Callithrix jacchus: one gene and its partner. The protein of the gene in region 1 purifies or fractionates together with the protein of each later gene. This does not show direct contact. Links are inferred from orthologs where the notes say so. Each region holds a gene or a part of one and is shown on either strand. Other genes may lie near its edges.

The links.
Region 2: the proteins of USP44 (region 1) and CETN2 purify together in Homo sapiens (affinity purification with mass spectrometry; 4 studies listed by BioGRID and IntAct, counting the BioPlex papers as one, with this or other methods). This does not show direct contact. The link is inferred for Callithrix jacchus from reciprocal best matches to the Homo sapiens genes USP44 and CETN2.

The regions. Positions count from the first base shown.
Region 1 is NC_133510.1:98,610,434-98,614,247, reverse strand, and holds part of USP44 (ubiquitin carboxyl-terminal hydrolase 44), read left to right. Parts: intron 1-3,091; coding exon 3,092-3,287; intron 3,288-3,814.
Region 2 is NC_133524.1:148,959,953-148,964,453, reverse strand, and holds the start of CETN2 (centrin-2), read left to right. Parts: upstream 1-1,573; 5' UTR 1,574-1,620; coding exon 1,621-1,623; exon of another isoform or gene 1,624-1,759; intron 1,760-2,514; coding exon 2,515-2,673; intron 2,674-2,993; coding exon 2,994-3,122; intron 3,123-3,527; coding exon 3,528-3,665; intron 3,666-4,230; coding exon 4,231-4,320; 3' UTR 4,321-4,501. UniProt on the Homo sapiens protein: Plays a fundamental role in microtubule organizing center structure and function. Required for centriole duplication and correct spindle formation. Has a role in regulating cytokinesis and genome stability via cooperation with CALM1 and CCP110.

The DNA of each region.
Region 1 (3,814 bases):
AACCACAATCGTCTATGTAAAAGTTCTGTATACTCAGTGGACTTATTGATGAACTATGAATAGACATAAGGCTCTCAACTTTCTTATAACACAGATTTAAACAAAATTTTTATAGGTCATTTCCTTCCCCCTGCACACCTACCTCTGTTTTTCAGTTCAACTTTTTTTTTTTTTTTTTTTTTGAGGCAGAGTCTTGCTCTGTCTCTCAAGCTGGAGGTGCAGTGGTGCGATCTTGGCTCACTGCTACCTCCGCATTCCAGGTCAAGCAATTCTCCTGCCTCAGCCTCTCAAGGAACTGAAATTATAGACACCCGCCACCTCGCCCAGCTTATTTTTGAATTTTTAGTAGAGATGGGGTTTCACCATCTTGTTCAGGCTGGTCTTGAACTCCTGACCTTGTGAGCCACCATGCCACCACACCCGGCTTCAGTTCAACTTTCACTGTGATAAGGTCATCTTTTGTTTTTATAGCATACTTTCCTAGATTGTTGTTTAAGTATTTCAGATGCATTTCTCCTTAAGGAATATCTATGAAGTTTATTTTTCAGTGTTTCAAAATGCAGACTTTACTCTGTGTCAGTGAGCAAGTAAGAGTTGTACTTGTGTTATATGCAATTTTACTTCTCTATCTTTCTCCGTCATTTCCTTTTCATGCAAAAGTTTTTAAATACGCTATTATAGAGTGCAATATATAGCTGCAGGAAACCTATATAAGAAATCTATGTAGAAAAAGTGAAAAATCATTCTCTAATCCTGTAACCCCACAATCCATGGGTAAAACTGTTAATATTTTGGTATATTTTTTTCTAGTCTCTTTTCTCCTGCACATAGATACATATTTTCCCATAATTGCTCGTTTTGCACTTACCTGCTTTTCCCGTTTAATGTTGTGATGATTTTCCAGTCATTAAAAATATTTCATCATTCTTTTCAAAACATTTCAATGTTCATCACTTTTTTCTTTTTGTATATTTCTGTTGTTTAACATCATGTTTATACCATAACTTAGTTAACCTTCCTCTATTGTTGACTGTTTTTAATTTTTTCCATTTTTATGATGTCAATTAATTTTTCCAATTTCCTTATGACAGAGTCCTGGACACTGACTTTGTCAGAGTAAGACATCTGTTACTTGGTGACAAAGTTCTTTCCAGAAAGTGTTTTTCTTTTTTAAATATATTTCCAGTAATATGAGAGTGGCTATGTGCTTTTTTTCCCTTTTATAAATAAATTTTGAAATTAATACAAATTATTATACCATTTTTTTTGCTTTTCTTTAATACACTCTTAGGGAACGGGTTCTCAGGAGATTTAAGACAGTTGGTTGCTGGAATGTGTTTTCCTTTTATTTTTTTATGGAGATGAGGTCTCACTGTGTTGCCCAGGCTGGTCTCGAACTCCTGGCTCAAGCAGTCCTCCGCTTTGGCCTCTCAAAGGGCTGAGATTTGAGATAACAGGCATGAGCCACTACACCCAGCCTGGAATGGCTTTTTGTGTGTTTTTTCTTTTGTCTTTTTTTTTTTTAATTCAAGAAAATTCTCACAATGTCAGGCCCTGGCACTACTGAGTCCCTAGATTATAAACGCCAGGAGTATTCTTTGTGTCAATTTGTTAAATCTAAAATCTGTATTAGATCTGGCTTCTTTATTTCATTGCCTATGCCGGGACTATAGCTTGTATGAAAGAGGTTCTTTATAATATTTCATATCATGTGTGACTTGCTAGTTCATGGAGTCTGTCTTCAATTATGTGCAGTGTCTGTTGGCATTCAATTCTGCTGAATGTCTCACTGAAGTTACTATTCAGGTCCTTTCCAGTTGCTACATTGCCTATGTAAGTTGTTAAAACAGCTCCATGTTTTTCATTTTCTGTGTTAGGAAGGGGATTTTAATGGGATGTTTAAGAGTATAACATCATTTATGTCATATATCATGTCTTTTGAAATAATCAGTTGTCAGGGCCTAACTGCGTAATGAAAAGACAGTATTGCCGAGCATAGTGGCTCACACCTGTAATCCCTGCACTTTGGGAAGCCAAGGCGGATGGGTCACCTGAAGTCAGGAATTCAAGACCAGCCTGGCCAACATGGTGAAACCCTGTCTGTACTAAAAATACAAAAAAATTAGCCAAGTGTGGTGGCAGGCATCTATAATCCTATCTACTGGGGAGGCTGAGGCAGGAGAATTGCTTGAACCTAAGGGGCCAGAGGTCGAAGTGAGCCAAGATCACGCCATTGCACTCCAGCCTGGGTGACAGACTGAAGCTCCGTCTCAAAAAATAAATAAGTAAAAGGAAAAGAAAAGATAGTATTTTACTTCTAATATGGTTAAGATTGGATTGGACTAAGAGGTTATAGCATTTGGAATTAGGGGGGATAAAATCATCAAAAGATGAAGGAGAGGCCGGGTATAGTGGCTCATACCTGTAACCCTAGCACTTTGGGAGGCTGAGGTGGGCGGATCACCTAAAGTCAGGAATTTGAGACCATCCTGGCCAACATGGCAAAACCTTGTCTTTACTAAAAGTAGAAAAATTAGCTGGGTATGGTAGCTGGTACCTGCAGTCCAGCTACTCAGGTGGCTGAGGCAGGAGAATCACTTGAACCTAGGAGACAGAGGTTGCAGTGACCCGAGATTGTGCCATTGCACCCTAATACAGGGGACGGAGCAAGACTCTACCTCAGAAAAAAAAGATGGAGAAACAGTGAGGAACCTCAAGACTAATGACATAAATACATTAAATTTAATGCATGTGAATAAACATCATATGTATATATCTATATATACATATACATAATACGTTTCTATTCAGTATGTCTACAATTTGGATTTTTACCTAAATGTAATGCCCTTAGAGCTTTTTGAATGTCCAGTAGTTAAAGCACCTAATTCATGATGGGACTAATGACAGTCTTTTGGAAGGAAAAATTATAATGAAAGATTTCCTGACAAGAATGTAAAGCAGATTATTCAGAATTCTAATGGTGCATTTTCATGAGAAAAGCTTATTTACTGGCAGTGACCTCTAGTGAAAAGAGTTAATGTTTTGATGGAAAGATTATAATCTTAGGAATGAATATTCTTATTTGCAGGTTACATGTCTTGCATGTGACAACAAATCAAATACCATAGAACCTTTCTGGGACTTGTCATTGGAGTTTCCAGAACGATATCAATGCAGTGGAAAAGATACTGCTTCCCAGCCATGTCTGGTTACTGAAATGTTGGCCAAATTTACAGAAACTGAAGCTTTAGAAGGAAAAATCTACGTATGTGACCAGTGTAACTGTGAGTAAAGATGGTGTGTTCTCTGTGCTCTCCAAGGAATAATAAAGAGAAATGCAGATGAGAGGAAGCTGAAATTCTTCAGCAGTTATGAAAATGAACTTTATTTCATTGAAATAAACAGATTTTCACTTTATAATTGGCATTTATGAACTATGCGTTTGTTTTGCCGTATTGTTGGAATTCAAATTGTTTCTGATCCTGTAGACAATTTTGGAGGGAGAAGATCATAAGAAGTTTAAATGTGATATGCAGAGCAAAATAAAGTAGCAAAGAGGAATAATGAAAGCATGTCATGTAGGGTGAAGGAAACACTCTATGAGCTTTTTTTTGCTATATATCAAAATGATATGTATATAAATGTGTGTGTCTATATACATAAAATAGGAAATAATATATGCTAGACTGCTGTTGTAGAGATTGGCTTCATCAAAGCAAAGATTTATCCAAAACCACACGCTGTCTCTTCTGTGTTAGTTATTCCCAGTGTCTACAGATAGAGGTAAGATACTTTTAAGGTGCTCACATTT
Region 2 (4,501 bases), on another chromosome or scaffold:
AGTACCAGTAGTGAATACCACAAAGATGCCTGCCCTCAGACAGCCTGCTTTCTAGTGGAGGGAGAACAGAGAACAAAATAAATAAGCAAAATATACAGTAGGTCAGAAGGTGGTAAGTACTATTGGAAAAAAAGTAGAGCAAGGTGAGTGGCTTGTTTGTACCGGGGACTGCTTAAGAGGAGGCAGGCAGAGGGAACAACTGGGACAAAAATGAGAGGCAGGAGTGTGGCTGGCACATGAGGTTCAACGACAAAGCCAGTATTGTGGGGCTGGAGTGAGCCTGAGGAGAGAAGAGTAATAGGCTTTGCAGAGGGCATGGTGAGAACTCTGGCTCGGACTACTTGGGAGGCTGATGATGAATCTGTTCACTGCTGAAGAAGGAAGAGGGCAAAGGGCAGAAGCTCCATTTAAAAGGTTCTAATAAGCCTCGGGCCTTTCTCTGCCTGAGAAACTTACTCTCTGCCCTCTGCCTCCCTAGATTACTGCCCCAATGCCTGGAGGAAAGACAGGTGAAGGCCGAAAGCCACGGGAATAGCGAAAGTGGGCAAATTGGACCTCCAGCTCCCTTTCTGCAGGTCTATCTCAGTCCACAGCCCTTGCACATGCTCCCTTTGAATTCTCCAAGCATACCAGTAACTTCCAAAACTCTTGGGACTTTGCTTATGAGGGCATCTCGGCCTGGAATGCTCCTCCTTATCTGTCTTGAGTGGGTGTCAAAAAGAGTATATTTTGATGACCTCTCCCGGCCCCTCATGCTCGCTCACATCCCCCTCACTCCTTTCAAAGTCCGTTCCCAAAGCCCCCAGTTCACCGTCCTGGGCTGCTTTTAGCCACGTGAGACCTAAAGTGATCCCCTCTTGGAACCTGATCTGGGGCCTATACTTCTGGGGCAGTCTGGGAGTGCTCTCGAAGGGCCACCCTCAAAGAGCGAACCTCGGCTGGATTCAGTTCCTAGGTACCAGCAGTCCGACCTCTGCAACGACGCTCAGCACACCCCTTCCCCTCTCTGGGTCTCAGCTGCCCCGTGAGTACAGCCCCTGCTCCAACACGCAAGGTCAGTAGCATCTGGGGGCTCTGATGCACTCGGTCCCTAACTCAGCCTGAGGTCAGCCCAGAAAGCACCCGACCCGGGAGGCCCCGCAGCTCTTCACTCTCCCGCCCTGCCCAGTCGCTGACACAAGGTGACTTCCAAGGGCAAGACCACGACTCTTACCCGTCTGTAGGCGCCCCCCTGGCTGGCCTCAGCTCGCAAGCAGGCTGCACCCACCGAACTCTAGCCTCAGACCGCCACCCTTTACTACCCTCCCGCGTGAGACGAGAATCAGCCGAGCTTCCTCCACCAAGAGGATTGGCCCAGCTCAGCGTTGGCTAAGCCAATTGGCGCTCGCGGCGTGATCTTGCCCAGTTATGACTGGCCTGTGTCGCCAGCGTGCCCCTCCCCGCGCTGGTCCAGGGCTTTGCCAGGTTAATTCCACCCACTTCGGCCCTGAACCAATGGAGAGCGGCGAGGGCCAGAAGACGGCCAATGGAGAGCGGGGCTGCGCGCAGGGGGCGGTGGGAACGGGGCCGAGTCAGTGTATACTGCGGTTGCCTAACAACCGGCAGCGGAGTCCTTTGGCTATGGTGAGTGCTGGCCGCTCCGTCGCGCCCCACGCCCAGAGGTTGAGCCCTTCCCAAGCCCCGGCTGTGCCACGCCGCCTCTCCTGCGCCTTTCTCGGCTTTGGCGTACAGTCCTTCCTTTGAGCTCTTTCCCGGAAGGGTAGGGTACAGGCGCTAACCAACCTACTGGGCCTGCGCTTCGCTACTGCCTCCCCTTCACCCACGACAGGCCCACACCCGCCCCTCAGGCTCCCCTGGCGTTCCCTGGTCCCCTCGGTGACCCTCCCTGGGCAAAAAAGACTCGAATCCCTCACAGACCCCTGACTCTCTCAGACCTTGGCCTCCTGGCCGCCTCATTCTGCCAAAGTTTCCCCACAGAACTGGGAGAAGGTGTATTGTTTTCTTTGAAAATGTTTTCTACAATATAAATATAGGGGCATTAAGGGGATGCTTTAGCTTCTTGGAGAAGGCACGAAGGTGCCAGATGGATTGAGTTTTATTATTAGATACTGACACGATATACATCTTAACTTCCTAATATTTGGGCAAATCTAGAAGTAATTGGGAAGTCAGAGTACTTACTAGGAAGCGGAGTACTGGCAGTGGGCATTTTAAGGCTGTTTCCAGAACCAGGTTCCCCACATTCGGGAAGAGCTGATTATCTCTAGTTGTTCACAGTCAGTTTCTTGACTAGCTCTCTTTTGGGATGATTTTCAATAAGAGATATCCTTACTGAACAAATGATCTCCCTGCATCTAGAAACAATAGTAAACCCTGTGATATTTCTTGTTAAGCAAAGCTTTGGAATTGGTTATAAATGACTTTAAAAATACATATAGGTGTCTGTAACTATGTTATGTAAATATGGACTGTATTATATATTATTGTGCTTATGTATTTGCATAACATATAAAGGCCTCCAGCTTTAAGAAGGCAAACATGGCGTCAAGTGCCCAGCGAAAAAGAATGAGTCCTAAGCCTGAGCTTACAGAAGAGCAGAAGCAGGAGATCCGGGAAGCGTTTGATCTTTTTGATGCAGATGGAACTGGCAGCATAGATGTTAAGGAACTTAAGGCAAGCTCTATGCATTCCTGCCGTTTGCCCTGCCTTTCCTCTCCCTCTTCCTTGTCATCTCTTTATCACCTCTCTACCCCTTTTGCCCTCTTCTCCCTGCAGTAAGTAACAGGGGAGGTTGTACTGTGCTCTGTTTTCCTGTCTTTACTTACCTTGAGTATTATCAGATGGATTGCAGATATCAATTAGATCTGTGTTAAAGTGTTCCCGAATCATATTAACATGATCACATCAGATACGGACTTAATGCTCTCAACACTGTTATTTTTGCTTCTTATAGTTTAGATGTGTATATTGAGACAATCCTGTTTTCATTGTAGGTGGCAATGAGGGCCCTGGGCTTTGAACCCAAGAAAGAAGAAATTAAGAAAATGATAAGTGAAATTGATAAGGAAGGGACAGGAAAAATGAACTTTGGTGACTTTTTAACTGTGATGACCCAGAAAATGGTAAGTAGTTAAGACAATTGGCATGGTACAGAGCCCCAGTCATCTGCAGAGGCCCATGGCATCTGCCTGTTAAAACAGTCATGTGAGCACACAGCAGTTCAGGCCTGCCCTCCCGTCATGTTACCTTGTGCTTCTCTCTCAAGACTTCCAAGCAGATACCTCATCCCACAGAATTCCAAACCAGTTAAGAAACAGATGTGGGATAGGGAGCAAATGTCACCTTGGATGGAGTGCCTGGCTTGCCTGGTGTTTCTCTGAGGCCAAAATGGGCTTCCTGACACTGGCTGCAAGTCTAGACTCGAGTTATTGTTAAAAAGGAGAGGGTGACTGGGCAGCGGCAGGGCTACAGGACACAAGTAACCGTGGTGTCTCCCTACTCATGTGTTTTATGTTCTACTTGTTAAGTCTGAGAAAGATACCAAAGAAGAAATCCTGAAAGCTTTCAAGCTCTTCGATGATGATGAAACTGGGAAGATTTCGTTCAAAAATCTGAAACGCGTGGCCAAGGAGTTGGGTGAGAACCTGACTGATGAGGAGCTGCAGGTTTGTAATGCCTCACACTGGAACTTCAGATTCCCACCTTTCAGCCTTCTGTGCCTTTTCTGTTACATTTTTCCTCGTGTGAGCATCTCTTTGAAGGAAAGCCAGTGGACTCTTGTCCCTTTAATAGTCAGACAAACCTATGAGCCCTGCTTCTAGAAAAATGCACAGGTGCACAATCTTACTTACTATTTTGGGTTCCAGGAATCCCTCTAGTCAAGGCAGTCTTCAAGCTCCCTCCCAGGTGATATGTTTCACAAAATATGACTTGGTTTTCAAATAACTATTCAGGAACCAGGCTATTATCAGGAGTAGCATACTGGCATTGGGTGGACTACGATGATCTTTTCACATAGCTTTATTAAAGTCTATTGCTTCCCAGGCACAGTGGCTCATGCCTATAATCCCAGTACTTTGGGAGGCTGAGTTAGGAGGATCACTTGAAGCCAGGAATTTGGCACTAGTGTGGGCAGCATAGAGACCCTGACTGTAAAAAAAGTCTATTCCTTAATCACCTTTTTGAATTAGTTTATAAATTAAGCTAACCTGAATATTTACTGTCATATAGGAAATGATTGATGAAGCTGATCGAGATGGAGATGGAGAGGTCAGTGAGCAAGAGTTCCTGCGCATCATGAAAAAGACCAGCCTTTATTGAGATCAGTGTCTTCTTTTCTACTGCAAGCACATGTAACTAGATTTAGTGCCTGCAATTGTGTGAAATCTGGCTTTTGAGAACACAAATGTTTCCCTCACTGACCTCCCTGTATCACTTTAATAATGACCTTGAACCTATTTTAGCCTTTTGGAAGTGTTCTTTTATATGACAGTTCTTTGTA